Linked DNA regions of Callithrix jacchus. The protein of the gene in region 7 purifies or fractionates together with the protein of the main gene of each other region. This does not show direct contact. Links are inferred from orthologs where the notes say so. Each region holds a gene or a part of one and is shown on either strand. Other genes may lie near its edges. The genes, in order: SF3B2, RNPS1, SNRPA1, HNRNPM, PSMA4, TRA2B and U2AF2.

Region 1 (3,674 bases), on a different chromosome or scaffold from region 7:
GGCGGTTTTTAAAGTATTTTAGATCTGGGTTTTTAGTTTTTATTAATTTGGGGAAAATTTTGATCATGATGTCTTCCGATATTTTCTCTGCTCCCTTCTTTCCTTTGGGAACTCAAATTATTCCTCTATTAGGTGTCTTGAAGTTGCCCCACTGCTCACTGATGCTCTTAATTTTTAAAGAAATTCTTCTCTCTTTGTATTTCATTTTAGAAAATTTCTATTGCTATGTGTTCAAGTTTACTATTTTTTCTTGTGTAATTTCTGATCCAACAGTAATCCCAAACAATGTGATTCTCCTTTCTAGATGTTTTATTTAGGGTTTTTTATATCTATTCTTTCTCTCTTATTTAACTTTTTGAACGTGTGGAATGCAGTTATGATAGTATTTAATTTTATTAATTTAATGTAATTTTAATTTTATTTTGAGATGGAATCTTGCCCTGTTGCCCAGGCTGGAGTGCAGTGGTGCAATCTTGGCTCACTGCAACCTCTGCCTCCCAGGTTCAAGCAATTCTTGTGCCTCAGCCTCCAGAGTAGCTGGGACTACAGGCATGTGCCACCATACCTGGCTAATTTTTTTGTATTTTTAGTAGAGACAGAGTTTTGCCATGTTGACCAGGCTATTCTTGAATTCCTAACCTCAGGTGATCTGCCTGCCTCATCCTCTCAAAGTGCTGGGATTACAGGCCTGCACCTGGCTATAATAATGTTTTAATGTATTGTCTGCCAACTCTAACATCTGTGCCAGTTCTGGGTGATTGCCATTAGCTGATTATTTTCTTCATTATGGATTGTATTTTCCAATTCTTTTGCATATCTGGACATTTTTTCTTTTTCTTTTTTTTTTTTTTTTTTGAGACAGGTTCTCACTGTGTTGCCCAGGCTGGTCTTGAACTTCTGGGCTCAAGCAATCCTCCTGCCTCAGCCTCCCAAAGTGCTGGGATTACAGGCATGAGCCACCGGGCATGTCCGGTACCTGATAATTTTTTATTAAATGCTAGGCTTTGTGAAATTTACCTTGTCTGGTCCATGGAATTTTTGTATTCCTGTACATTTTCTTCAACCTCATCCAAAAATAGTTTGATCTTTTCAGGTCTTGTTTTTGGCGTTCCTGAGGCAGGACTGAAGTAGTCCTCCCCACTGTGAGACACAAGTACCTGTGTACTCCACCCACCATCCTGTGAATCAGGAGGTTTTTCCGTCTGGCTAGTGGGCATTGCACTATTCCCAGTTCTGAGTGAGCAGCGGGTGCTGTTATGAACCTTTTGGGTGCTGCTTAGTACTCCCCTGCATACTTGAGGACCTTCTGTAGGTCTCTTGAGTTCTCTCTGCTCTTTTCTCCAGTACACTTTCTGTGAACCGTTACTGCCTTGATCTCCCTGGACTTTCACCTTCATCCTCCCAACTCATGGAGTCCTCTGGGCTGTCCAGTGGGTCTCCCTTCTTTGTTCTGTGGCCTAGAAACTCAGTGCAGGATGCTGGGGCAGTTGAAGGATTCATCACATTTGTTTCCTATCTCATAAGACTCACTTATATTTTGTTGCCCCATGTCTGGTGTCTTGAAAACCACTGTGCCAGGTGCAGTGGCTCACACCTATAATCCCAGCACTTTGGGAGGCCAAGGCGGGCCGATCACCTGGGGTTGGGAGTTCGAGTCTAGACTGACCAACATAGAGAAACCCTGCCTCTACTAAAAATACAAAAATTGGCCGGGCATAGTGGCACACACTTGAAATCCCAGCTACTTGGGAGGCTGAGGCAGGAGAATCACTTGAACCTGGGAGTCAGAGGTTGTGGTGAGCTAAGATTGCACCATTGCGCACCATGGGCAACAAAAGCAAAACTCTGTCTCAAAAACAAAAAACAAAAAACACAGTTTCATATATTTTGCCCATTTTTTGTTTGTTTCAGGCAGGAGGGTATATCTGATTCTTGTTGCTCCTTGTCAGGAAGCAGAACTCTCAAACTTTGCATATTCATGGAAGAAAAAGAAGGGTACTGTGGACAGGGTATAGTGAGGAGGGCTTCGATAAGGGACCAGACTATGAACCCTTTAGGTCATGGTAAGGAGTTTGGATTTTATTCAGATAATGGACAGAAGCCTCAGACGGTTTTAAGCAAAGGTCTGACAAGACCTGACTTCCATTTTAAGGCATTTACTCTGGCTCCTGTGTGGCGAATAGATTGTCACCTCTTCCAGTGGGAGAGGTAGAGATGAGGGACATGGTCTGGGGTGATAGTGGTAGATTTGCTCTTGTTCCTAGTGTAATTCTTGAAATTGGTGGTGAAACTGGCTGTGGATGGCTCTTGCATTGGAAGGCCTGGAAGTGTGAACTGTGTACATTAGAACTCCAGGCATGACATTCTTTGGGTGGGAACTGTTACAGCCTGCTCTCTTGCCAGCTTCTCTGTACCAAAGTTCTCTTGGAAACTTTTAGGCTCTCTGACCTTTTGACCCTTGTATGCATGTGGGAGTCCTGGTCTGTGATCCCCTAACTTGGTTCAGGGGGCCCCTTAGCTCCATCTCTGTTCCCTGGAGTCGGCACTGTGCCACCCTCCCCTACCCAATTATTTTCTGTCATGGGCCTCCATGAACTGGAGGCTGCATCCCTGGGGAGCTCAGAAGCTCTCCAAGGCACTGAGTGGTGGTGCCACCTGTTTCTTTTGTTTCCACTGCTGGGGACCCTTTTGTCCCTTCCTTTTTGGGCCTGATCCCATTGTCCTTTGCAGAAGTGAGACACCTCAGCTCTTCACTGTGTTGCCAGAGAAGAGAACAGCCACTGTTGGGGGAGCCATGATGGGATCAACCCACATTTATGACATGTCCACGGTGAGTACTTGAAGGACACTGCTTTTGGAGGCTGAGAAAGGCAGCACAAACTAGGGCCTCAGTGACTGTCTTTGGAGATGACAAAGCCCTGATCCCCTTTCCAGGTTATGAGCCGGAAGGGCCCGGCTCCTGAGCTGCAAGGTGTGGAAGTGGCCCTGGCGCCTGAAGAGTTGGAGCTGGATCCTATGGCCATGACCCAGAAGTATGAGGAGCATGTGCGGGAGCAGCAGGCTCAAGTGGAGAAGGAGGACTTCAGCGACATGGTGGCTGAGCATGCTGCCAAACAGAAGGTAGGTGCTTCCAGGGGGCTGGGCTGAGTGAGAGCCAGGGACCCTGGCCTGCCGATTTCCAGTGGCGTAGTGCCCCCTAGTGGTCAGAGTGAGGGTGGCCTCTGCTTGCTGCCCTGCACTTCCTTAGATTTGGAAATCTTAGAAATCTCCAGTGGGCTGCCCTCTTTAAGGACGGTGATGGGGAGGAGCTCAGCCAAGTCTGAGAGGAATCTGGAAAAGAATCCGGATTCAGCACCTTTCCCACAGACTTCTATGTCTATGTCAGGCTGCCCACCCTTGTTTTGGGGGCCCAGGGGTGGCTCAACCTGTTGTAATGTGCCTTTCTCCCATACAGCAAAAGAAGCGGAAAGCTCAGCCCCAGGACAGCCGTGGGGGCAGCAAGAAATACAAGGAGTTCAAGTTTTAGGCCCCCTCACGCTGGCCTTCCTTTCAGTCCTCCGTCTGGATGCCTGGGCTTCACACAAGAGCCACCTCTCCCGCAATTCCCAAGGACTTGTCATTTCATGTTCTTATTTTAGACCTGTTTTGTAAATAAAGCTGTTTCCCAAGGAAAG
Region 2 (4,448 bases), on a different chromosome or scaffold from region 7:
AGGGAACCTAACTCAGGGGTGGTCTCCAGACAGGATTAGGTCTCCTGTTTCATTGCAGCAATTTCCTTTTGGGATACACTGGATAATACGACTGGAAGCAAAAACCATTTCAAAAGTGACTAGTACCAGCATCAAAACACTTAACACCCAAATGCAAACAGATAAAATGTACCGCATGGACATTTAAAAAGCAGTGATTGCAAACACTGTACTTTAGGAATATGCATACTGAGTGTGTAGGGAAAACACATGCAAGTGTGCAATTTACTTCAAATAAAGCAGAAATGTAACAAACTTTTAAGGGTTTTTTTCGAGACGGAGTCACCAGGCTGGAGTACACTGGCACGATCTCAGCTCACTGCAACCTCTGTCTCCTGGGTGTAGGTGATTCTTCTGCCTCAGCTTCCTGAGTAGCTGGGACTAAAGGTGTGTGCCACCACGCCTGGCTAATTTTTGTGTTTTTAGTAGAGACAGGGTTTCACCATACTGGCCAGCCTGGTCTCAAACTCCTAACTTCGTGATCAGCCCACCTTGGCCTCCCAAAAGTGCTGTAATTACAGGCATAAGCCACCGCTCCCAGCCCTCAAGTGGTTTTTGTGGGCATTAACTGTATAATTCAACCTTCCTATGTGCTTAAACTTTTCAAAAATAAGATGTTGAAGAAAAAAAGTAGGCACTGAGGTTTCGGGAGAGACTACCTACCACGTAAGACTACCTACGTTTAAGTTTAGCAAAACGCCTGGACTGCAGCGTGTGCTCAAATAATGGTAACAAATTACTCAAAACAAACTGCTAATAAGCTATGGGCTCTATTTCAGAGGGACTGCTGCCTTCAGTATTTCCAGCCAGGTCTGCACAAGCTGCATGAGTTTTTAAGTAAAGCTCTCAGGATGTGAGTCTCAGCTACTTCTGTCTCACCTTCTCCAACCAACAGCCTGTACGTAAGCAGGGCACAGCACACTAATGGGGTTCTGGTTTCCCCATGCAGAAATGCCAGTGCTGAAAACGTGTTCTGACCAAGAAAGAAGAGCACCTGGCTTTGAGCTGTCAAATGAGTCATGGAGGGCCGAACATCACCTTTGCTGCTCTTGTCCAGGGCATAGTGTTTTGCCTCAGAACAGTGATGTTCTGCAGACACCCAGCAGGCAGTGCCCGGTATGGCTGGTGTCCTTGGACAAACAGTGAGTATCAGAGTATAATTCCCAGTCTGGAGCCAGGAGGCCTGGGTTTGATTTGAAGTTTTACTGTGCAATTTTGAACAGGTCACTTATCGTTTTTCAAGTTTCTCATCATCAATATGGAGACAACTACAGTTCCAACCTTACAGTTATGCAGGGCATTAATCAAAGGCTCAATACATGTGAGAAGCAAGGGTTTTATCTTCACGTCCAGAGGCTCCTTCCCCCCCCCCAGACACTTGTCTCCAAAGTCCCACGTAATTTCTGAACTCTCTGCAGGGCTCCCGCACCCACCCACCTTAGGATCATCTGCAGCAGCACTGTCCAACAGAAATAGTGTGAGGAGCCACAAGCAGAATCTCAAATTCCTTAGTAGCCACGTCACAAAAATGGGTGAAATTAATTAACATTTGACACAAATCCAAAATACTTTTCCATCAAATAATCAACATAAAAATCTAAAGGTTTCTTTTTTTGTTGTTGTTCAGAGTAAGTCTTCTAAATTTGGGGTGTGTTTTAACATCTCAGTTTTGATTAGCTGCTGTATTTCAACATGCTCAGTAGCCACGTGGGGCCAATGGCTACCTCACTGGACAGCACAGATCTAGAGTGCAGGTCACACCCGCATATTCCAGCCCCACCCCCTAGTCCTAAAGATCTGCCCAAATGTACTCTGTGAAATCAAACACCGCTACTTTGATTCGCTTCGTGAGATCAAGGAGCACCGTTCTTAAGCACTCTAAGAACCACTGAGAAAGCGGACGCTTTGCTGGGTGCGGTCGAATGCTAGAAAGCAAAGGTTGAGGTTCTCTGTTCACACAAGTTCAGGTACCGGCTCAGGACCTCGGTTACCTCCCCCATCCTCCGGAAAGGTGCGCGTCCAACAGCCAGAGAGAGGAGAGAACAGTTAGTTAAATCTCGAGGAGAGGGCGTTTCGGCACAAATCTTCAGAGCGCCTTCCCCATTTAAAAGTACATTTCAGGCACAGTTCATGCGAAATCAAGACAAAAAGCCTACTCCACGTTTCTCCTCCAGCAACCTTAACCTTCCCGTATCCACCCCTCCGGGGTTAACCCATCAAACGGGGCCAGGCCACCGTGCTCGGTCCATAGCGGGCCACATCCCCCAGGCCTAGCGCCGAGAACTGCACACGGGAGCCCGGGAAACGTTCGCGGAGTGCATGTTTGAATCAATGCCTCCGATGGGGGGATCGGCCAGCCTTCCACTGTATCCCACAAAGAAACTCCGCGCCCGCCGGCACCGGCCCGACACGCCGACCTCGCCGCTCCCCGTCCGCGTTCACTCACAACTCCCTTGTCCAGGCGCCGGGCCGCGAGCGCTTCTAGGGCAGGGCCTGGCGTTGGGGGCCTGGGTCTCCGGCACGGCAGGAGGGCCCCAAGGGCGGAAGCCGCGCTCCCCGCTGCTCAGAGTCCCACGGGCCTGGCTGGGCCGCCGCCGAACGGACGAAGCAGAGGCGCCCTTCCGTCCGCCGCGGCCCCGACCACTTCCGGGCCACGGCCACGACACCTCCCACCCCGCCCACCCCGGGCTACACTCTTTCTTTTTAGAGTCCGCACCGCGCCGCCATGCTGCCGCCGCACTGCGGGGCTGGGGAGTGGACCAGCTTCACGATGCTTCCTGCCGGGCCTGACTGGCAACCCCTAAAGCTCGGATGCGGTCGGATTCCGCCCCACTTACATCTTCCCGCCGCCGACACCTCCTCCTGCCTTTCTCAGCCGCTCAAGCCGGCTCCGCTCTGACGTCAGAGTTAAGGAGCGGGAAGACGCTGCCGTCCGGCGCGCAGCGATGACGTAAATGCCTGGGCCAATGGGCGCGAGCGGTGAAGTGTTCAGAGAGTCAAGGCGGCGTGTGTGAGCCGCGTTGGAGCGCTCGCGGTGTCTCCCCGCCGGCGGTGTGTCCCGGCCGGAGGAGTCTGTGACTGGCCGGGCCGGTTGCACGCTTGCTGCAGCGGGCACAGGGGTAGCCTGCTGAGGCTGGTAGGGCCGCGCGATGACCGAGGCTCGTCGTCTGGCGCGGAGGGGGTTAACGCGGCCGTGCCCAGTCCCTTTCCTTGCGCGGGTGCTCTGGGCCCGCCTAGGCCTCCTCCGGCCCCCGACACCGGACGCTGGGCCCCGGGCCCGGCCGCGCGGCGGCGGCGGCGGGGTAGTCGTACAAGAAAGGCGCGCGGGCTCTGCGGCTTTGCTTGGCGCGACGTGGGGACCCGCAGGGTGGAGGCAGCTCGGAGAGATGGGCCGGGGCCGGGCGTGCGTTCGCGTGCTCCAGACCTACCGGTGGCGTTTGGGGTGCCCGCGTGGACGCGGCCTCCACGCAGGTGGAGCTCCGCCGGGTGGGCGCGGCAGCTGGGCAGTGTGGGCAGGAGGAGCGACGAGTTTGAGGGTAGGAGATGGGGTGCACAGGGGGGCGTCTGGGGGTGGTGGCCCTGCCGCGGAGACCCGAGAGGAACGGTGCGTGTGACGGGGTAACAGCAGGGGCCGAGGTTCTCTGGAAGCGGGGAAGGTTCCGCGCGAGCTTCGCGGCGGCAGCACGGAGCGTGTGAACGGCGCAGCGCCGAGGCTTCATTCAGCTGCGGGTGCGGGGTCCCGGCAGGGAGAGCCCAGAGGTGGCGGCGCCTCTGGCTGGGACATGGGAGAGGGTGACGCCGTAGGGGCGCAGGCCCAGACACAGGCGGGAGGCTCCGCACTGGCGCCCCAGACGGAGAGGGCAGGTTGTGTTCACTGCTGCGCCTGGCGGGCAGTCGTTGCCCTGTGATTGTTTGTGGAGGGGTTGACGGTGCGCTCAGCTTCGGACTTTGAACAGCTTCGTGGCAGCAAGGATGGGAGAAGGGAACAGATCCAAGCAGATCTTTGGGAGGAGAGAACCGGCATGACTTGGAGACTTTCGATGTCGGAGCAAAGGGGCTGGGTGCAGCTGGGCGACCTGGAGTGAGTGGGCGGATGGATGGACAGACAGCCAGGACGGGGTCTGCTATCACTGCCCTCCTTCCTGTGTGGGACGCTAGTTCCTGCTGACTTCCTGGCTAGACCCACTCCCTCTGGCCCTGTCCAAGGGTCAGGTGTGCCCTTGACCCTTCACCCTGGGCTAAGGGATGTCCGAGGACTTGGGGACAAAGGCCGCTGGGGGGAGGAGTCACCTCCTGGGTCCACGGCACTAAGTCACCAGTGTGTTCCTGTGGGTGGAGGTTGGCAGGCCCAGTCTGGTTTGGGTGCCCCTGTTGGATTTGGGTTTGATGACATGCAAAGTAAGTTAGAT
Region 3 (4,286 bases), on a different chromosome or scaffold from region 7:
TGCAACATTTACCGCAGGTGGAAAATTACTTTCCCCAGCAGACCCTTACCATATTCTGTTGTTGTTCACTAACAATGTTTTTAGTCTTCTCAGCAAAGGAAAGCCATCCAGTTTCCTGATCTCATTGTCAGAAAAATCAATCGCATCAAACTGGTCTAGCGTAGCACCTAGATTTTCAATGACGGGAATTTTATACCCTGTAAAATGGAGGAAAAAAAACACACAAGAGGTATTAATATAACTAAACAGCCTCTTAAAAGATGAGCAGTATTTCACAGGAATCAGACTCCAGGCCTTGATTCACTCAGGAAGTATTACTTACCTAGCACCTACGCCATGTTTCCTACGCCTTGCCACTGCACAAGGTACTAGAGATAAAATGCTGAATGAGGGTGGCAAGTCCCCAGTGCCATGAAGCTTACAGTCTGATGACAACAGGGACAAGGACAGTAATGATAGGTGAGATAGTTAGCTAACATTTATAAGACCATTTACAAGGTGCACACTGTTCTACGTCTTCAGGGCTAGTTAGGCGGAAGCAGCACAACAGGAATTTACCACTTCGGGCTGCTCAGTTTCAGTGCCCAAACAAGGTTCCAACACCGTGGACAACAGTTCTCCACCTCTTGCACCCCCACAGGCCAGATTCTTAGAACCCATCAGAACAGCCTCAAGATGACAGTTCTCCCTTCTCTCCCCCAGCTCCAATTCACAGTTGGAGGTCAATGGTTTACATACTTAATTTGTCTAAGTTGGGCATTATTATGTTAGGAGCTAAAAGAAATATTCCAAAGAAACAAGGTCTATTTAAAAAAAAAAAAAAACTCAGCCAAAGTTAAAGTACACAACTCAGGGCTGTACTACAAGTACTGCATCAAAAGAAGTATTCTCAACACTGCACGCACTCCACAGAGAGAAATGGCAGAGATCACCGTAAGTGATGATTTGCTCTTGAACTGAACCTTTCTCTAAGAAACTTAAATTCAACAAAATAAAAATACTGGGCCAGACGCGGTGGTTCAAGCCTGTAATCCCATCACTTTAGGATGCCGAGGTGGGTGGATCGTCTAAGGTCCGGAGTTCGAGATCAACCTGACCAACATGGAGAAACCCTGTCTCTACTAAAAATATAAAGTTAGCCGGACGTGATGGCACATGCCTGTAATCCCAGCTACTCGGGGGAGGCGGGGAGGGCTGAGGCAGAAGAATCGCTTGAACCCAGGAGGGGGAGGTTGCATTGAGCCAAGATTGTGCCATTGCACTCCAGCCTGGGCAACAAGAGCAAAACTCAGACAAAAAAAAAAAAAAAAAGGAAAGAAGAAAGAAAGAAAGAGAGAGAGAGAAAGAAAGAAAGAAAAAACTGGGGGCTGGGCGCGGTGGTTCACGTCTGTAATCCCAGCGCTTTGGGAGTCCAACGGGGGCAGATCACTTGAGGTCAAGAATTCAAGACCTGCCTGACCAACATGGTGAAACCCCATCTCTACTAAAAATACAAAAATCAGCCAGGCGCAGTGGTACATGCCTGAAATCCCAGCTACCCGGGAGGCGGAGGCACAAGAATCACTTGAACCAGGGACGCAGAGTTTACAGTGAGCCGAGATCACACCACTGCACTCCAGCAAAGGGGAAAGAACAAGACTTCATCTCAACGCAACACAACACAACACAAAACAATGCGATTCCCCAAAGGTCAGCAAGAAATCAAAGCAAATCCCGAGACCATAGGTCCCCGTGGGAATCTCAGGCTACGACTGCACTGCCGTACCCCAGAGAAGTTGCTCTTCACATTCTTTCTAAAGCGGTCTCCTGAAATGCCAACTAGCTAACTGCCCTCCCAATTTCTTACCAAGTCTTACTAAGGTTGAAATAGTACAGGAATCTAAATAATTGTGAGCGCTTCCGCAACTTACACACAGCACCCGGCGGTGGAAGCCTGGGTGAAACAGTTCAATCTTTAAAACGTCTTCACGAAGGGGAAACGCCAAACAATTAAAGCTACTAAGTAGAAAATACTGGGGTAGCCGGGCGCGGTGGCTCACGCCTGTAATCCCAGCACTTTGGGAGGCCGAGGCGGGAGGATCACGAGGTCAAGAAATCGAGACCATCCTGGTCAACATGGTGAAACCCCGTCTCTACTAAAAATCAAAAAATTAGCTGGGCATGGTGGCGCGTGCCTGTAATCCCAGCGACTCAGGAGGCTGAGGCAGGAGAATTGCTTGAACGCAGGAGGCGGAGGTTGCGGTGAGCCGAGATGGCGCCATTGCACTCCAGCCTGTGTAACAAGAGCAAAACTCCGTCTCAAAAAGAAAGAAAGAAAGAAAATACTGGGGTAAACAATCGCTTTTGTTCGGGGACTTAGTTTCTTCCATCACATTAAGAATAATGAAGACATATCCTATCTACACTCACAATATCATCTGGCGGCAAGTACTGAGAACCAATCACTCGCCCTGCACTAGGGTTACCACCGTTAATGAGTCGCTCTTCCCGGCCCTCAGAGTCCGCTACGAAACAGCCAAGCAAGGCCTAACAGAGCCCCACGAGCATGCAGCAGGGAGTAATGAAATCACCCGTGCTTCTCAGGAGGCACAGCAGTAACAGAAGGCTCCCAAGAGCCTAACGGGACGCGCGCTTGGCAACAACGGCAAGAATCAGGCAGGGCGGTCTCGGCGCAGCCCGATCCGGGTCTAGATTACCCACCCGCGGGCCAAGCTCCGGCCTTCGGTGCACGCGGCGGAGCGCGGATCGTAAGGCGGCGCAGTGCCGCCCTGGGACTGCCCGCCCGCGCCCCCGGACTCACCTCGGAGGTCCAGCTCCCGGTCGCGCACCGCATTGGTGTATTGGGCCGCCTGCTCGATCAACTCCGCCGTCAGCTTGACCATTCTGCCGCCTCTGGCTTCCCAGCGTAGCCGAAAGGACGCTGCCTCCTGCGTCCCAACGTGCCCCGCGCCGCGCCGCGCCGCCAGGCAGCACCAATCGCATCCGCCGAGTGCGCGCGCAGCTCGACCGCCAGGCCGAAGCAATCGAAGAGCCACGCCCCCGGGGTTGTTCTGGCCCCAAGTCCTGGCGCGCGCGCTGGGGACGTGTTTGTTTCTGGGTTCTTTCCTGGGGTGTATCTGGAGTCTGATGGACCTCAGATTCCAGACGTTGGTGTTTAAAAGTTAAGGCGAATGTGGAAACACCCGAGGGGAACTTTCTCATGCACTAGCTCACCTTGAGGTGGGAGGGGAAGCTGTGATTGTCCCCAGCAGGCGCGGGGACCCGTGGGCTTCAGTGAAGGGTCGACGAGTTCAGGTACCTGTCCCGAGCCTAGACCTTGGCCCCAGGCTACAGCGTGAGCTCCCGGGCTAGGTGACCCGCCCGGGGCAGGTCGCTGGGACAACTCCACCGCCCCGCCAGTGCAACCCGGTCGCGGGCACGGTAGGGTTTGCCGTTAGGTTTGCGGCCTTTAGACTTCTGAATATTCATATAAAGTATGATATACAGAAAAGTGTGCAAATCAGGTGTTTACAGCGTGACTAATGACCAGAGTGAACACAACTGCATAGCCGACGCCGGGATCCAAAAAAAACCCACTGTTTTGAAAACCTCCCTCTTCGCAAAGGCAACCGCAAACTCAACACCACAGACTCGTTTTAGAAATTCCATTTGACCCAGCAATCCCGTTACTGGGTATATACCCAAAGGATTATAAATCATTCTGTTATAAAGACACATGCACACGTATGTTCATAGCGGCACTATTTACAATAGCAAAGACCTGGAAGCAACCCAAATGCCCATCAGTGATAGACTGGACAAGGAAAATGTGGCATATATGCACCATGGAATACTATGCAGCCATAAAAAACGATGAGTTCTCATCTTTCATAGGGACATGGATGAATCTGGAAACCATCATTCTCAGCAAAGGACACAAGAACAGAAAATCAAACACCGAATGTTCTAACTCTCATTGAACAATGATAACATGGACACAGGGAGGGGAGCATCACACACTGGGGTCTGTGGTGGGGACAAGAGAGGGACAGCGGGGAGTGGGGGCAGGTCGGGGAGGGATAACATGGGGAGGAATGCCAGATGTAGGTGATGGGGTGGGGGAGGATGGAGGCAGCAAACCACTTTGCCATGTGTGTACCTACCCAACAATCATGTATGATCAGCACATGTACCCCAGAAACCTAAAGTATAATTAAAAAAAAAAAGTAAAAAAAATTTGGAAAAAACTAAAAAATAACAATAAAAAATATAAATTTTTAAAACTGAAAAAATAAATAGAATCCCAC
Region 4 (3,370 bases), about 41 Mb from region 7:
TGACTCAAGCAGGGTCTGTGCTACAGGGAGTTAACCTCACAAAAGGGAGACTGGATGGCTTGGGAGGCTTTTTTGATGGAGTCTCACTCTGCCACACGGGCTGGAATGCAATGGTGCGATCTTGGCTCACTGCAACCTCTGCCTCCCGGGTACAAGCGATACTCCTGCCTCAGCCTCGAGTAGCTGGGATTACAGGTACACCTCCCCTCCACACACCTGGCTAATATTTGCATTTTTAGTAGAGATGGGGTTTCACCATGTTGGCCAGGCTGATCTCAAAACTCCTGACCACAGGTGATCCGCCCACCTCAGCCTCCCAAAGTTCTGGGATGACAGGCATGAGCCACCGTGCCCAGCCTTGTGAAGCTCTGAACAGCAAATGCCCCATTATCAGCCCAAGGATAACAGCCCACAGGAAGGCAGTTTCCAGGGAATAGTCTCCCTTTTTGAGGGTAGGCACTCACCTCTAGGCCCTCAGACAAGCAAGAGTGGGGATGAGGTTTCTGGAGATCGCTGCTCCTCAGACTGGAAGCCCAAGTGGCTCTGGCTCCCCACATTTCAGGTGGTTGCCCACATACCACACACAAGGATGCTGCTTTCAGGAACCAGTATTTATTATCAAAGTCATATTTGATGTCAACAAGATGCCACAACTACAAAAAAAATTGCGCACGTTGCAATCTCAATGCAAACAGTCAAATGGAACCCCAGTCATTAAAAAAGTAATTCAAATTACCCCAAAAAGCAACTGAATTTTTTAAACATCTTTATACATCCAGCCAACAAATTAAAATGGTTAACAAGAAAAAATACAAATTCAGAGGTCTGGTATCGATGTTTAAAAAAGGCAACTGCTTAAGCGTTTCTATCGATTCGAACATCAATCTCTCGGCCATTGAGCTTCATGCCATTCATCATCCGGCAGGCTCTCTCAGCCACCTCTGGTGACTCGAACTTAACCACACCGCACCCCTTGGACTTCCCGTTCTCCATCTTGATGTCGGCATATAGCACGTGGCCTGCACAGGGAGGGAAGGAGAGACCACATGTCAGGCAAACTCAGAGCTCAGCCTGTCTAGACTGTACTCAGTCCCTATCACCTGATGGATTCTGGTGGACAGAGTCAAAAAGGAGAGGCCCCAAGAACCAGTGACTGTGGCCCTGGGCCCACACTACCGTTCTGCTAACAGAGCCTGCCCCTGCCCCAGGAAAAGCCTTCCTGAAAGTTCAAAAAAGAAGGCACCATGTAAAGTCAGCTTTAGAGGCAGAAGGCTGGCTATATATATTTTGGAGGCTTCATTTTTGATAAGCCACTGCCTCTGGTTACAAAGCCATCCACAATCCAATGGACACATCTGTACTGTCCAAGTGTAAGCCAGCACACTGCATATATTCATTTGAACACCTATTTAGCATCCAGAGATGTGTCAACACTGTGGAAACAGGCCAGGCCTACAGGGTCAGAGCACTAGAGGCTAAAGGTGCTAGGGCCACAAAGCCAGAGGCAGGAAGGAACTCAGCCTAGGAGATGGCCCAGAGCAGGGAGGATGGAGGGGTCCCCTCAGGGGCAAGTTCTGAGAGCTTGCACAAATTCACCAGAAAGATGATTTGCCAATGGGGGCTTGCATACAGCACTGCAGGGTGCTTGTAGTACTTGCTGCTCAGGTTCTGGGATGGGAGGGAGATAGAGGAGCAAGGGACCAGTCCTCAAGGGGCTTGAGAGTCTGGACTTTCTCTTGAAGGCTAAGCGTCCCTCTAGGCATTGCGAAAGTGGGGGCCTGTGATCCCACTGACCTTTTCAGAATAGCTACAATGTGGAAACTCAGGAGTGAGGAAAGAAACAGGTTGACTCAATGGCTTGCCCCAAAAACCATGGAGAAGCAGCAATGATGGTGAAATCAGAGCAGCTGCTGAAACAGGAAGTGGGAGGACAGGGTGGAAGCAACTGCTCAGCCCTGGTTCAGGCCCCTCTGGCTAAAGAGAACAGAGGTGGTGCATGAGGGGTGAGGGCTTACCCTGGAGGGCAGGGAAGGAAGACAACTTGCTTCCAGCCCAAGAGGAAGCCTTCCAGAAGGGTTGTCTAACATGCCAGGAAACCACGAGACCTTAGCCTCACCCTCACATGAGCAGCTGTGCACCCAGAGCCCACAGCGCCTCCCCATGGCATCTGCTAGGCTGGGCATTCCCTGAGAGGCCCTCAGTCAGCTGTGCTGAGGGAAAACTGACCTCATCTGGGATGTATTTGCCACCTAGAAGCCAGGTGAGCTCAGAAAGACGACTTTGCCTGACATCTGTAAAATGCAGACACTATTACCTTGTTTCAAAAGCCTCAACAAAGGAAAAGAAAAGTAATTAAGGATGAAATAACAGGTGAAAAACATGTGACACATCACAGGACACTCAGCCTAACCTGAGCATTGGCATGGGCAGAACAATGGCAAGGCCATGAGTCCTGGGCTGATGGAGAGGGCCGGGAGGGAGGCTTTGCTGACTCAGCTGCATTACCAAGCATGAGGCAAGGACCTAGAAAGCCATTCCCATCACTTACCACACTCGTTGAATTTGTCCTTTAGCATCTTCCATGTGAAATCGAATGGGAGCTGAGGGGGGAGAAGAAAAGGGAGACTGATGTGTGATTAAAGTAAATCCTAAGTTAGCATGCCTTGCAGCTGGCTCTGAGGGCCAAGCTAAGTTTCTTACTACACCAAGAAGTGCTGCCCTTCAGACTGATGGCATCAGCAGGTCCATGTGGGACAAGGCTGTGAAGGGGCACAGCCAGCTCCTCCCTGGGGCTCTGCCAGTGGGAGCACCAAGCAGGGCGGGACGCTTGGACCTGCGATGCACAACCATCACTCAAAAGAGGCTAAGGGTGGCTGAGCTGGGGGAACTAATTCTGTTACAGCCACTTCTTTCCCTGGATCATTGTGCAACAAGACTCTGGCTCATTAAGCGATCAGAAACTGGAGTCTCTGAGCTCAGAGTCTGCTCCATATTCTAGCACAGTGGAGAAGCCCAGGCAATTCCTGAACCCAGTTCTCACATTCCTTACTTGTCCTACTAGCACAAAACATTAGGGACAAGGGCAATGAGGTGTGGTCCCTTCTGTGGAGCGCCACCTCTGATTTCATCCTGCGGATCTCTGCCTCCCTCGTCCCCTGGTGCTCACCACCACCAAGAAGTTCCCCAAGAGCCACTTACATTTCTCACAAATATCTGGCAGGCCTTCCTGGCCACCCCAGGAGCATGGCCTCCAGCTCCACCAAAGGAACCTGCGAAGCTTCCTCCAAAGTTGCCACGCTCCATCTCAATGGCACGGTCAAAGCTGGCACCGCCACCGCCACCCATGGCCAGGCCCATGCGCTCGATGCCA
Region 5 (3,976 bases), on a different chromosome or scaffold from region 7:
GAAGGCTTGTTCTTTAGTAAGATTCAGTATAGTGCAACAAAATCCCGTGTAGCTATTCTATTATTATTCTTATTTTTAAAGACAGGGTTTCACCATGTTGGTCAGGCTGGTCTTGAACTCCCGACCTCAGGTGATCCGCCTGCCTTGGCCTCCAAAGTGCTTGGATTATAGGCGTGAGCCACAATGCCCGGCCTCTGCGTAGCTATTCTAAACAATACTTTGAGGACCTACTATATGTCAAACACTATACTATTGTATTTAATTCATTTTATTTCATTAAACTGCCACAACCACTTTAGGAGGCTCTGGGGCCCAAAGAAATTAAATAATTGGGCTGGGCATGGCGTCTCATGCCTGTAATCCCAGCACTTTGCGAGGCCAAGGCAGGTGGATCACGAGGTCAAGAGATCGCGACCATCCTGGTCAACATGGTGAAACCCCGTCTCTACTAAAAACACAAAAAATTAGCTGGGCATGGTGGCGCATGCCTGTAATCCCAGCTACTCAGGAGGCTGAGGTAGGAGAACTGCCTGAACCCAGGAGGCGGAGGTTGCAGTGAGCCGATATCGCGCCACTGCACTCCAGCCTGGGTAACAAGAGCGAAACTCCGTCTCAAAAAAAAAAAAAAATTAAATAATTGGTGCAAGGTCACGTAGCCTGTATGGGTAAAGCCTGGACTTGAACCCAAATCTCTGTGACTAAATCTGTACCTTTATCATTACACAATGCTGGCTTCTCCACTAAGTGTTTGCTCTGCACGTAAAAGGATACCAGGCCTCAAAGAGGTTTCAAGCAAAATAAAGGTACAAGTTCAATTCTATGACATCACAGGGAAGAGCCCTCCCAAATTACATAGCTCCCACTTATGTGAGAAAGTGAGATATTTTTTAAAACTCTTTCCTAAAATCTCACTTACTCATTGAGTTTATAAATTTTTTCAGAAAAAAAGACTTCATCAAGAAGCTTGTGGATGTTGCGTCTCTCTGCTGCAAGCAAAACACCATCATTTGCTAAAATTCCCAAACAGGTGCCTGCATGTCCAATCGCTTCCATGGCATATTCAACTTGGTATAAGCGACCTACAAAACAAAAGCAGTGAGAAGCCAAGACTCTCCTCTGTGCTCTCGCATCACTGGCCCAAAAGAAATCAGCAGTGAAGCAAGCTAGAAACAAAAGTCCCACTTTTACTCTTCTAGGGTATAATCAATCTGGTGACCATAATTGCTTCAAAGAACAAAAGGGAGGAACTTTGCAACTACAAAAAGTTTGTACATTTTTTTTTCTGTAAAAGTCTAACACATTTTTTTTTTTAACTTGAGGCAGATTAAACAATTTCTATTTTACCTTCTGGAGAAAATATAGTGGTCCTGGAGTCATATCTTCGAGACTGCAAAGGAAAAACACACAAGTGATTCCTATCCACTGAAAGTAAGCCAGCTCCTGCAAGCCTACAAATCATCTTACAGAACCTATCCTGGCACATAAAGTTCAATGGGTGAGAGGAAACTGACAAGAAAGAAGGCGCCATCCCACTGCCTTCCTTTCATTTCAATTTCCCCACACAAGTCTGTAAACTGCGTACAATACTATTTATCAGGCAACAGTTTATTGGCATTAACTCACCATGTTTTCTGAACTTTATCTAGTTCCTGTAAAAAGAAAATCGGATCATCATTAAAATAAGATTCACAAATTAAAAACCATCTGCTGACTTTACAAATCTGTTTTATTTACTCCCTTTATTCAGCCAACAGTCAGGCATTATGCTAGATGCTGGAATACCAAAATGTGTAAAACCAATTCCTGTCCTGAAAAGCTAATACTGGCAGTTAGGTGACAGAGGCAGACATAGATTATAATGTAGAAAGAGGAACCGAGGGTAGGGTGGGAAAAGGGATGAAGAAAAATCAAGAAAGTATTTTTTGAGAAACCAATACAGAAAATGAAACTAAATCAAGAGGCAGCAGAGGCAGAAAAAAGGCCAAGAACCCTTGGGTCTAAGAGAAAGAACAGGGGAAGAAAGAGGGGAAGGGCATTCCAGATGGGGCAGAAAGTATGAACAAAGGGTACTGAGGCATGGTAACTTAGTGGGCATGAGACAAACTGCTGATCTTTGAAAAAATGTATAAATAAAAGCTAAGCAAGTATCCAAATCACGCGGGGCCTTGAATGCCAAGTGAAGAGGCTTAGGCCTTCTCCAGAGAGTGATCTGGGTCCTGAACTTGGGGCTGAAGGCGGTTATCTTGGGCAACATGAGTACCATTCGTGCAAAAGACAACACTGGGTACGCAGCGTTATTCGGTAGAAAAGCCTCAGTCCAAAGCCCACATTCCCAAATACTGGAATATAGGAAATGAAGCCTGGAAAGGTAAGCTGGAATCAAATCCTGGAGAGCCCGCGTGCCCACGTGAAAACTGAGTTTCATCTCTCAGTCAAGGGGCTCCTCTGAATGATTCCCAAGGGACACAGGAACTGATTGGCATTTTAAATGATCACTCAGGCTAGCGAGGCCGAGGGCAGCGAACTGGCTAAGACAGCTACAATAGGAAGGTGCAAAGGAAGGATGGCCCAGAGCAGAGAAGCAGGGAGGACACAGACACTCGCCGGGCGTTTCTGATTCGAGAGTAAGCGCAACTTTCTGTTGTCTCCACGCCTGACGCCGGCACAGCACGATCGTGAGTTCACCGGCACCGGGAGCGCTAACTTTCACGTACCGAACTCCCGGGGACGGAAGCCGCCCCGACTCCTCGATCCTGCCCACAGACCCCCGCCCTCAGCCCGCCCCCTCGCCGGGCCCCGCGTCCAGATTCGGCACCGGGAAGCCCCCAACGGCGGCCGGCGGGGGCCAGTCCCGGCGGCCGGTCCGTCACCGAGGAGGCGGTGCAGAGTCATCGTGCCCACAGCTCCTCGGCGGCGGCTGCAGCCGAGACCTACTGGCTAGCCGTTCACGAGCCCCGCCTGAGGAGCGAGCGGCCAAGCTTCTGCGGGCTCCTAGGGGGCAAAGGCTTACCAGAGGGAAGACCCTGAAGACTTGTGACGTCCACAGAGCCCTTAACTCCGCGGGAGAAAGATCACCAGCGCTGCCAGATTATCCGCTGCTAATATGGCCCCCGCACATGCGCAGAACCTCCGGGGAGGGGGCGGGACGGCTGAGGACGCGGAAGTTCTCCTTGCAGGGCGGAGTGAGAACCCTTGGCCCTCGTGGGAGCTGGGGCGCGAGGTGCGGGGACTCTGGGGCGCTGGAGCCCTCAGCAGGTGGAGAGGCTGCTGTGCTATGGTGAGGAGGGCACTAAGAGCGTAGCCAACCAGAGTGGAATTGCTGTATAGCTAATTTCCTTCTCCTACTCTTGGGGCTCTACTTTCACTTTCTCTTGACTATTCAGAGCTAGGATAACACATAGTGTGGACCTGCCTCTTAATTGCTATCATTCCTGTCCTGTTTCCCAAAACGGTTCCAACCATATCAGACTTCACCCGTCTCATCATCTCCCTTTTTCATTATGGCTTCCACTATTACTGCTGATGCATACACTTTTGGACATATAAATTATGATGAGGAAGGCTGGGCGGGGTGGCTCACGCCGGTAATCCCAGCACTTTGAAAGGAGGCCAAGGTGGGTGGATCACCTCGGGTCGGGAGTTCGAGGCCAGTCTGGTCAATATGGTTAAACCCCATCTCTACTAAAAATACAAAAATTAGCTGGGCGTGGTTGCAGGTGCCTGTAATCCTAGCTACTCAGGAGGCTGAGGCAGGAGAATCGCTTGAATTTGGGAGGTGGAGGTTGCAGTGAGCTGAGAGTACGCCACTTTACTCCAGTCTGGGCTGGAGTAAAGAGTGAGACTCCGTCTCAAAAGAAAAAAAAATAATAATGAGTGTCAGCACGGTGACTCACACCTGTAATTCTACGGCTTTGGGAAGCTGAGGCAGGAGGCTGGCTTGAGGCTAGGAGTTTGAGGCTGCAATGAGGTATGATTG
Region 6 (4,205 bases), on a different chromosome or scaffold from region 7:
CACTATCGACTTTTTGTTCAAATTCTTAACTGCCAGGAGTGCCTCTTTTTGCGAAGAAAAGGTGCTAGTCAACCCCTTAATAAAAAGTCAAGCAATTTTGGGGGGTGGGGGGAGGGGAAGGAAAACAGGCTTAAATCTGGAGATAAAAATGAGACCGATCTTACTTTCGAAAGTGGTTTGGCCAGATCCGGTTAAGTCTGCTAATTAGACCCCTATAGACTGATTTAGTGTAAATCTATTACTGAGATTGGGGGGGTGGGGAGATAAATCCCACAGACCAACAAGGCATTAGAGACACAGTGAAACAGTTTTTAAGTGTCATTATACTCATCCAATAAGCACTGTATTCTATTAGTGATCAAATTGGGAATAATTTATCCCATACACCCAATCTTAAAGGGGAGGGACACAACAATAAACTCCTACAGTTATTAGAAAAGGTGGGGCACAGAAGGGTGGGGACGTCTGGATTAGAGACACATAAATAAGGCAGAATTCCAGCTGATTTGAAGAGATTAGTGATTTACATTAAGCCAGTTCAGAAGCCTGGCTGGAGCTGAAGGAAACTCATTTTTCTCGCTCCAGAGAAGCATTTACCCCACAGGCATGTCTAAGATTAAACTATTCCATTGAGCTTTAAGGTTTTCCTAACATTGTTTTGGAATCCTAGACTTCCAAATTTTATTCAGGTGTATTCCAACCCTTAACGGTTCCAACTGGAACACAAACACCAAACAAAACAATGTTAAGCATTTCACAACTTCAATGTTTAGACACCTCGGCCAATAAGCCAAGACTCTTAGGTAAAAAAAAATCTCAGTTTTAACACATTTAAGTTAACCTCCCTCTACAATTGAAAGACTGTGAACAAAACAATTGTACTTTTACTAGTAGAAAGAAAACCACCAATCCGAAAATTTCAGATTTCTCTTGAGCCGAGTCTCAAACTGGAACTTAGTTCCTTCAGTTGTTTCCTTCTCCCGTAAAATGTACTAATTAACTCTTCCGGCAATTTTCCATTCTCAAGCATACCATATGCAGCTTCTTCAAGTGTATTCAACTGAGAGTTCCCCTAGTCTGAAGCCATTTTGTATTTTTGTAGAGTACAAAGGTACCCAATAACTGCTGTTTAATAACGAAAGGCTTTAAAATCGCTTACTTTGCAGTCTAAACTAGCCAATGACTAGTTTTAACAGTTGATTCAACTGCCAACAAAGTCACTCTTAACTTTTGAGCCCAATCCCTACTTTCTTACCCATGAAAGAAAGAACTTAAAATCTAAACTCGTGACACTGGAGTCAATCCTCTTAAGGTAAAACATGAAAAACTAAAAAAACTATGCTCATCCGAATATGTAAACGCAAGGCTTGATTAGTTCAAACCAAATTAATCAGCTTTGGCTCTAAACTGGTTACTCTCGCTTCATTACTAAGGCGCCAGGAGGTAAGAGAGTTTCTTTCTAAACTATTATTAATACAAACTTTTGCTAAGACATTTAATAGTCTTATTTACCTGATAAATCATATTCAGATCTTAAGGTGGCTCTACCGGTAAGGGAAAACTTAGGTAACAAGTTAAAAAAAAAAAAAAAAAAAGCACAAATTACTCCCGTAACAGCCTCAAAAATCAATTTCTGTGGTGGTTTTTTATTACCTTCCTATTAAGAGATTCCTAATGCAGCAATCCTTGTATCTTCGCATCATTCAATGCTCTGCGAATCTAATACCCAGAGCCCCACTGAGAGGCTGTGTATGTTGTTTAAACCCTAGAACTGTCTTGTTCCGGCAATTCAACTGACCCTCACTGAACACCTTTAAGAGGTGGAAACTTAAAGGAAATTGTACCCAACACACGCTGTGGTTCTAAGTATTAGAACGCCTCAAAACAAAGGAAATAACGGCGCCGTCAATTGTTGCCCGTCAATTTCTCCTTCATAATTCTGGGGAAAAGCGATGGCCACAAAACCATCTTAGCGACTTTGTGGTCTGCTCTAATAGCTTACTGATACGGACTTTTGCCTGGGAAGCCCTCTCGGTACCAGAAAAAAAGCACTTCATTGAAGCCAAACACAAAGCCCTCGCGCAATCCCCTCCACCTAACAGGCCCAGAACTTAGTCGATCTCGGATTAGTTTCCATCTTAAGCCCCCCAAGGACATACCAGACTCCGTCCTTTCCGGGGAGGCAAAGACGGCCCTTCGTTAACCTCAACACCTGGCCAAAGACCCCAAGGAATGCCGTCTGCCTCCTCTCACCCCACCACGCGGCCTTGCGAGGCGCGGCTCGCAGCGGGTCGGGCCCGAGTAGCCGCGCGGCTCCTCCGCCATTTTGTGCCTCTGGCAGCGCGCCCAGCCCGCCAGTCCAAGATGGCTGCGGCGGACCTTCGCAGGAGAGCAACGGCGAAAGATACCACTCCCCTCCCCCAACAGCGCGGGGACGCAGCGGCCATTTTCATCTTCCCCCGCTTATAACGGGAGAAACGGCCGTCTCGGGCAGAAGCCACATAAACCCGCCGGTGTCCTCCCTCCTTCACGACCAAAGGCACTAAGACACTATCCACAAGGGCTTTTTTTTTGCCTCAACGCTGCTCCCTTGCCTGCCCTCCCAGCTTCAGACTTCGGAGCCTAAAACGCCGCAGCCTCCCGGCCCAAGGCCGATGGGCCTACAAAAAGACGGAAGGAGTTGGGACCACGCAGCCGCCCCCTACACCAGCTCTACGTACCCGCTCGCCGTAGTTCTGCTCGCCGCTGTCGCTCATGACTCCTGGCTGTTGTCGCCGGTCGAGGTGCTTCAATCGAAGCTGCCAACCTCTCGCGCCTTCTCTAAGGAGGCTCAGCCGCAGCCCCGCACGACACACCGGGTAGCCCAGCCGCTCAGAGCACAACCGCTCCGCACCGCCTCCGCACGGGCTCTAACTCTACCGGACGTGACGCGGCGCTCCTTAGCCAGGCTCCGCCCCCGCCCAGAAACGCGCGCTTTTTTGGCCTCGCCCCTCCTCGCTTTGCCTTTTCTCTCCAACAGCCTCGCGTCCCGCACCGGAAATGACGCAAGCCCGTCGCTCTCAGGGCCCCACCCCCGTTCCTCGGCCTCTCTCAGGCGGGAAAGCTAGCCTGCCGGTTGGCTGCTGTGGTGGGCGCCACGGGCCCACGGTGATGTCACCAGTCACACCTTAATCCCTTCTAGAACTTTCCAAGGAACCTGTCGAGGGAGCGGGGAGGGAGGAGATGCTCTCTGCTTCCCCCAGTTTCCATTCCTTTCTCCGCCTTGTTAGTTTCTCGTTTCATGTTTTTCCTTTGTTTGAGAGGGAATATTGGTACACTGGTTCTTACTTCATTTCGCTTTACTTGCAGCTATTTCTTTCCTGAATACGTCTTCATTTAAAAAAGGTCAGATCTTGATACACAGGAATCAGAACAATCTCTGTTCTGAAGTTAGGAAATAATAGATGAGAACCGTTAAACAATTAAAATGATTATAAGTGCTAGAGGCATGTATAACTGCAGGGATGTCACAAGGAGGGAAGCTTAATTCTGCCATTGCGTAAGAGAATATAGTGAGAAGAACACAAGTCTGATACCTACTTTGTTTCCTTTCTTTTTGAAATGGGGACTTACTCTGTCGCCCAGGCTGGAGTGCAATGACGCAATCTCAGGCCACTGCAATCTCTGCCTCCCAGGTTCAAGCCATTCTCCTGCCTCAGCCTCCTGGATAGCTGAATTACAGGTGCCCGCCACCATGCCTGGCTAATTTTTTTGTATTGTTTATAGCGACAGAGTTTTGCCGTATTGGCCAGGCTGGTCTCGAACTCCTGGCTCAAGCGATCCTCTCATCTCGGCCTCCCAAAGTGTTGGGATTATAGGTGTAAACCACCGCCCCTGACCCCTATGTTGGATACTTAATCCCTCTGCAGTTCTCCTCATCCACTGAAAAGGTGGTACCTGGCTGGTGAGGTACTTTGGTACAGGTAAAGGGCCTTTTGTTTTGTTTTGTTTTGTTTTGAGACAGGGGGTCTCTCGCTCTATCGTCCAGAATGGAGGCTTATTGCAACCTCTGCCTCCCAGTCTCAAGTGATCCTCCCGCCTCAGTCCAATATCTCCCATTCCTGATTTTTAAAAATAGCTTTATTGAGATATAACTCATCTACTATGCAATGCCCGTATTTAAAGTGTACAATTCAAATGGCATTTATTCCCAGAACTGTGCAACC
Region 7 (3,674 bases):
ACCCTCCCCCCCACCATGTAAGCTGCACTCTCTCCAGGGAAGGAGAGGATCCGGGACAGGGCCTGGGGAAGGGGTGCTGGTTTCAAGGCAAGTGGACTCTTCCCAGTGCTTGGGCCAGGGCTGGAAGCGGACAGGGCAGGGTAGGCGGGCGTGAGGAAGGTGAAGGGAGTGGACATCAGGGAGGAAGGGGCAGGAAGAGAAGCTCACATCAATCCACCGTGCTCCTCTTTAGCGCCTCTGGTCAAAGGTTTGCTGGGGGGTGGGAGGGAAAGGTATGGGGAGGGGTGACTGGGGACCCTCGTCTTCCCCACATGCCACACCCCCCCAAGGGCACTGAGCCCCAGGATGGGAGCAGGGCCGAGGTGAACAAGCAGCAAGCAGGCCCCCCTCGGCCCTGCCATTTCCCCCCAAACACTCCCACCCCCAGGAAAGAGGAAGTGAGGAAAGGAGACAGGGGCCAGGGGCCAGGAAGGACCAGTCTCTAGCTGGAGAAACTGCTGGGAGAAGGCAGGAGAACTCTGCCTATCCTGCCCTTCCTCACCTAAGGGGCAGAGAACAGAGACGGGAGCCTAGAGAGAAAAAGGCGGTGGAAACCAACACCCCTGGGCCAGAAAAGAAGCCCAGGCTGTGTACACTGCCTCACTCCCAGGAGCTCCCTTCTCCAAGGAGGCAGGGAAGAAAGAAACTGGAGGCAGAGACCAACCCCCTCGAATAGAGTCCCACAGAGAGCCCCAGAGAGTTGACAAGAAGAAACAGGCAGTCAGAGTCAGAGACAGAGAACAGCCCCTTGCAAAGGAAAACACAGAATCAATTCCATGGCCCCAGAGAAAGAACCTATTGCTCCCAGCAACCCACCAGCAACCCCCAATAGAGGAAATGAAAGAAACCCCAGAAACGGGGGAAAAATCGGAATTCAAGACAGACCAAGCAGTAGATCCCTCCCCCAGATCCACACAAAGAAAGATGAGCCACAGAAGGCCTGGGCCCAGATACAGAATCAATGGGCCACCCCCAGGCTGGCCAACACCCACCCCCCACCCGACTCCCAGGCTGGCCCAGCCCGGGGTCCCTGAGCCCTAGTACCTTCGGCGCCGCCTGTCCCGGGAAGCGCTCCGCTGGTCCCGGTTGCGCCGGTCTCTGCTCCGGCTGCGGCGTTTGCGGTCCCGGCTTCGAGAGCGGCTGTGGCTGCGCTTCCTATGCCGATTCTCCTTGTCCCGCTCTGGGCAAGGGTGAGAGGAAGGGGATGCGATGAGCGGAGTAAGGATGTGGACCCAGCCCACCCTGCGCACTGGTGGCTATGTCCCAAGCCCCAGGGAGGCCACCCCCCAAAGGGAAGGGATTCGATGGAGGAAGGGAATTAACAGGCCTCCTAGATCCACAAGCGAGTCCAGGGACCCTGAGGGGACCAGGGGGACGGGCCTGGAAATGCCCCCGGGGTGTAAGATACCTGAGGATGCTCAGGAGGAGCTGGGGAGCCAGAGAAGACAGAGGCTGGCTCCTGGTCCCCCTCGAGGGCTGAGGGGCCTGACCCCAGGGTCGTCCCTGAGAGGGGCAGGGCTAGAGGCTGGGGAATCAAGAGACCCAATGATGTTTTCCTGAAGGGACGCAGAGACCCCTCAGGAAAGACCTCTGCAACCAGCTGGCACCCACAGCCCCATCATCAGGCCTAGAGGTCAGGTGCCAGGCAGGATTTGATATCCCCAGGAAGCAGGGAAACTCAACCCATCCCTTCCCAACCTGGTGAATAATGCAGAAGCAAGCACGCTTCCCCCGGGGAGTGAAGGGCCTTGAAGCAGCTGCAGATGGAGGGTACAGAGCCCTCCTCTGCTTCAGCAGGTCAGGGGAGGAGCTTGCCCTACCCAGACTTTCACCCCAAACCACCTGACTCTCCCTGCCTCGCTCCCTTCAAAGCCAAGTACTGGAGAGGTTGTAGAGTACGGGTGTGTATCTCCGCCAGCCTCCAGACGTCCTATTTTCCTCCAAGGTGGCCACTAGAAACAGAGCCTCACTGGCAAAACCACAGAAACCTCTGCTTCCACCAGACCCTTCAACTCCTGAAGACCAACCCTTCAAGATGGAGGATAAACCATGAGCTGGGGGTGTTCATAAGCACCACTTAGAATTCCCTGAATTCAGAGATACCCAGATTTCTCAACTATCCATGAAACACACACACACACAAGATGCACATGTTAAGGTGCTCATACATGTTAACAAGCATCACCTAGAGTGATGATCCCTGGGGCCAGAGGGGGGAAAAGGCACAGAGGGAGAATGTTAAACTTCAGCCTCACCCAGCATTTTGTTATTCTGACACCAGATGAATGTTGGGAAAAGCATCACAATTCCAAAACCACCAACACTCAGAAAAATATGCACCCAGCGGGGGGAAAAAAACAGTAACAAATAATGTGATGCTTCTTACGACGGAAATCTGTATTAAATAGTTCTGTTTGCAAAAAATTAGCTGGGCATGGTGACGCATGCCTGTAATCCCAGCTACTTGGGAGGTTGAGGCAGGAGAACTGCCTGAACCCAGGAGGCAGAGGTTGTGGTGAGCCGAGATCGCGCCACTGCACTCCAGCCCGGGTAACAAGAGTAAAATTCTGTCTCAAAAAAAAAAAAAAAAAAGTTCTGTTTGTACTTAATCCTCACTACTGCTTCAGAAAAACACTGCTGGGGGCTGACATAATGGATAAGGAAACTGAGGTACAGAGAGACCACAACTTGCCCAAGGCCAAACAGCTAGAAAATGGTGAAGCCGGAATTTCAACTCTGTAAAGCCATCAAGTTCAGCATGAGGCCATGCTCCTGAATTCGGATCAGGCAGGACATTCTGGCTAGAACCACTAATGACAATGCAATTGTCGGCTTGAAGGCCCAAAACCCCAAAATCAAAGACAGAAACGGGGGGGAACAATCAGCAGGACAAGCCAGCAGCGGAGTAAGCACACAGGCATGGCAGCGGGCACAGCGCTGGCTCCACACTTGAAAGATGGACAGGCTGTGAGCCCCAGGAGCCCTTCCTGCTGCTAAGGCTCTGAAACAGGCAGCAGGCAGAAAGGAACACACGCACAGAAAGCAGTGACGCCTGGCTGGGTGCCTGGGACATAGACAAGGAAATTCCCTGTAGACACAGCGAGCAGAGGAAGGCGCTGAAGCAGAAGCGGGCAGGTACAGAAGCTGGCCCGTCCTCCAAAGAGACAAAGACCCACAGCCAGAATGATACGTGTGCGCGGGCAGAGCTTCCCCTACGGCAAGAACCCTCTCCCACACACTGATGCTGGACAGGTAAAAACAGAAAGGGAGTTTCGTTTGCTGAAAACATTGTATTGTGGTCATCTTATGGGAGCAGCTCCGCCAACCCAGGAACCACGCCAGGTCCAGGCACTGGCCTCCCAGCATCAGAGGAGAAACCACAGGAGAACCAGTACGGTGCCATCTAAGGGCCTCAAAGAACGGACCAATCAGCTCGACTTGGTGGTCAGCATAGAGGAACGTGGCTTTGCAGCCAGCCAGAGCTCAAAATCAGTACCTGTTTTTCTACTTACCAACAACATAAAACCATGCAAAAGCAACTGAAGCCTTTAAGATTTGGTTTTTTCTTCTTTAAACGAGGGGGGGGGTCACATCTACTCCACCCAGGTGTTGTGTGGCAGAACAACATGTGGAAA

What was found.
Region 1: the proteins of U2AF2 (region 7) and SF3B2 purify together in Homo sapiens (affinity purification with mass spectrometry; 3 studies listed by BioGRID and IntAct, counting the BioPlex papers as one, with this or other methods). This does not show direct contact. The link is inferred for Callithrix jacchus from reciprocal best matches to the Homo sapiens genes U2AF2 and SF3B2.
Region 2: the proteins of U2AF2 (region 7) and RNPS1 purify together in Homo sapiens (co-immunoprecipitation; 6 studies listed by BioGRID and IntAct, counting the BioPlex papers as one, with this or other methods). This does not show direct contact. The link is inferred for Callithrix jacchus from reciprocal best matches to the Homo sapiens genes U2AF2 and RNPS1.
Region 3: the proteins of U2AF2 (region 7) and SNRPA1 fractionate together in Homo sapiens (co-fractionation; 3 studies listed by BioGRID, with this or other methods). This does not show direct contact. The link is inferred for Callithrix jacchus from reciprocal best matches to the Homo sapiens genes U2AF2 and SNRPA1.
Region 4: the proteins of U2AF2 (region 7) and HNRNPM fractionate together in Homo sapiens (co-fractionation; 4 studies listed by BioGRID, with this or other methods). This does not show direct contact. The link is inferred for Callithrix jacchus from reciprocal best matches to the Homo sapiens genes U2AF2 and HNRNPM.
Region 5: the proteins of U2AF2 (region 7) and PSMA4 fractionate together in Homo sapiens (co-fractionation; 3 studies listed by BioGRID, with this or other methods). This does not show direct contact. The link is inferred for Callithrix jacchus from reciprocal best matches to the Homo sapiens genes U2AF2 and PSMA4.
Region 6: the proteins of U2AF2 (region 7) and TRA2B purify together in Homo sapiens (affinity purification with mass spectrometry; 4 studies listed by BioGRID and IntAct, counting the BioPlex papers as one, with this or other methods). This does not show direct contact. The link is inferred for Callithrix jacchus from reciprocal best matches to the Homo sapiens genes U2AF2 and TRA2B.

What each region holds. Positions count from the first base shown.
Region 1 is NC_133511.1:123,141,591-123,145,264, forward strand, and holds the end of SF3B2 (splicing factor 3B subunit 2), read left to right. Parts: intron 1-2,730; coding exon 2,731-2,830; intron 2,831-2,934; coding exon 2,935-3,120; intron 3,121-3,454; coding exon 3,455-3,526; 3' UTR 3,527-3,673; downstream 3,674-3,674. UniProt on the Homo sapiens protein: Component of the 17S U2 SnRNP complex of the spliceosome, a large ribonucleoprotein complex that removes introns from transcribed pre-mRNAs.
Region 2 is NC_133513.1:4,501,402-4,505,849, reverse strand, and holds the start of RNPS1 (RNA-binding protein with serine-rich domain 1), read right to left. Parts: upstream 2,937-4,448; 5' UTR 2,879-2,936; coding exon of another isoform or gene 2,877-2,878; exon of another isoform or gene 296-2,876; intron 92-295; exon of another isoform or gene 13-91; intron 1-12. Other genes in the region: uncharacterized protein LOC144578542, read right to left, coding at 3,028-4,215. UniProt on the Homo sapiens protein: Part of pre- and post-splicing multiprotein mRNP complexes. Auxiliary component of the splicing-dependent multiprotein exon junction complex (EJC) deposited at splice junction on mRNAs.
Region 3 is NC_133507.1:8,684,959-8,689,244, reverse strand, and holds the start of SNRPA1 (U2 small nuclear ribonucleoprotein A'), read right to left. Parts: upstream 2,949-4,286; 5' UTR 2,883-2,948; coding exon 2,801-2,882; intron 198-2,800; coding exon 50-197; intron 1-49. UniProt on the Homo sapiens protein: Involved in pre-mRNA splicing as component of the spliceosome. Associated with sn-RNP U2, where it contributes to the binding of stem loop IV of U2 snRNA.
Region 4 is NC_133523.1:8,004,103-8,007,472, reverse strand, and holds the end of HNRNPM (heterogeneous nuclear ribonucleoprotein M), read right to left. Parts: coding exon 3,199-3,370; intron 2,601-3,198; coding exon 2,549-2,600; intron 1,020-2,548; coding exon 856-1,019; 3' UTR 597-855; downstream 1-596. UniProt on the Homo sapiens protein: Pre-mRNA binding protein in vivo, binds avidly to poly(G) and poly(U) RNA homopolymers in vitro. Involved in splicing.
Region 5 is NC_133509.1:25,910,379-25,914,354, reverse strand, and holds the start of PSMA4 (proteasome subunit alpha type-4), read right to left. Parts: upstream 2,599-3,976; intron 2,285-2,598; coding exon of another isoform or gene 2,253-2,284; intron 1,650-2,252; 5' UTR 1,627-1,649; coding exon 1,624-1,626; intron 1,388-1,623; coding exon 1,345-1,387; intron 1,080-1,344; coding exon 917-1,079; intron 1-916. Other genes in the region: uncharacterized protein LOC144577225, read left to right, coding at 2,253-2,284, 2,669-3,277. UniProt on the Homo sapiens protein: Component of the 20S core proteasome complex involved in the proteolytic degradation of most intracellular proteins. This complex plays numerous essential roles within the cell by associating with different regulatory particles.
Region 6 is NC_133516.1:14,879,643-14,883,847, forward strand, and holds the start of TRA2B (transformer-2 protein homolog beta), read right to left. Parts: upstream 2,912-4,205; 5' UTR 2,757-2,911; coding exon 2,721-2,756; intron 1-2,720. UniProt on the Homo sapiens protein: Sequence-specific RNA-binding protein which participates in the control of pre-mRNA splicing. Can either activate or suppress exon inclusion. Acts additively with RBMX to promote exon 7 inclusion of the survival motor neuron SMN2.
Region 7 is NC_133523.1:48,521,712-48,525,385, reverse strand, and holds part of U2AF2 (splicing factor U2AF 65 kDa subunit), read right to left. Parts: intron 1,220-3,674; coding exon 1,084-1,219; intron 253-1,083; coding exon 208-252; intron 1-207. UniProt on the Homo sapiens protein: Plays a role in pre-mRNA splicing and 3'-end processing. By recruiting PRPF19 and the PRP19C/Prp19 complex/NTC/Nineteen complex to the RNA polymerase II C-terminal domain (CTD), and thereby pre-mRNA, may couple transcription to splicing.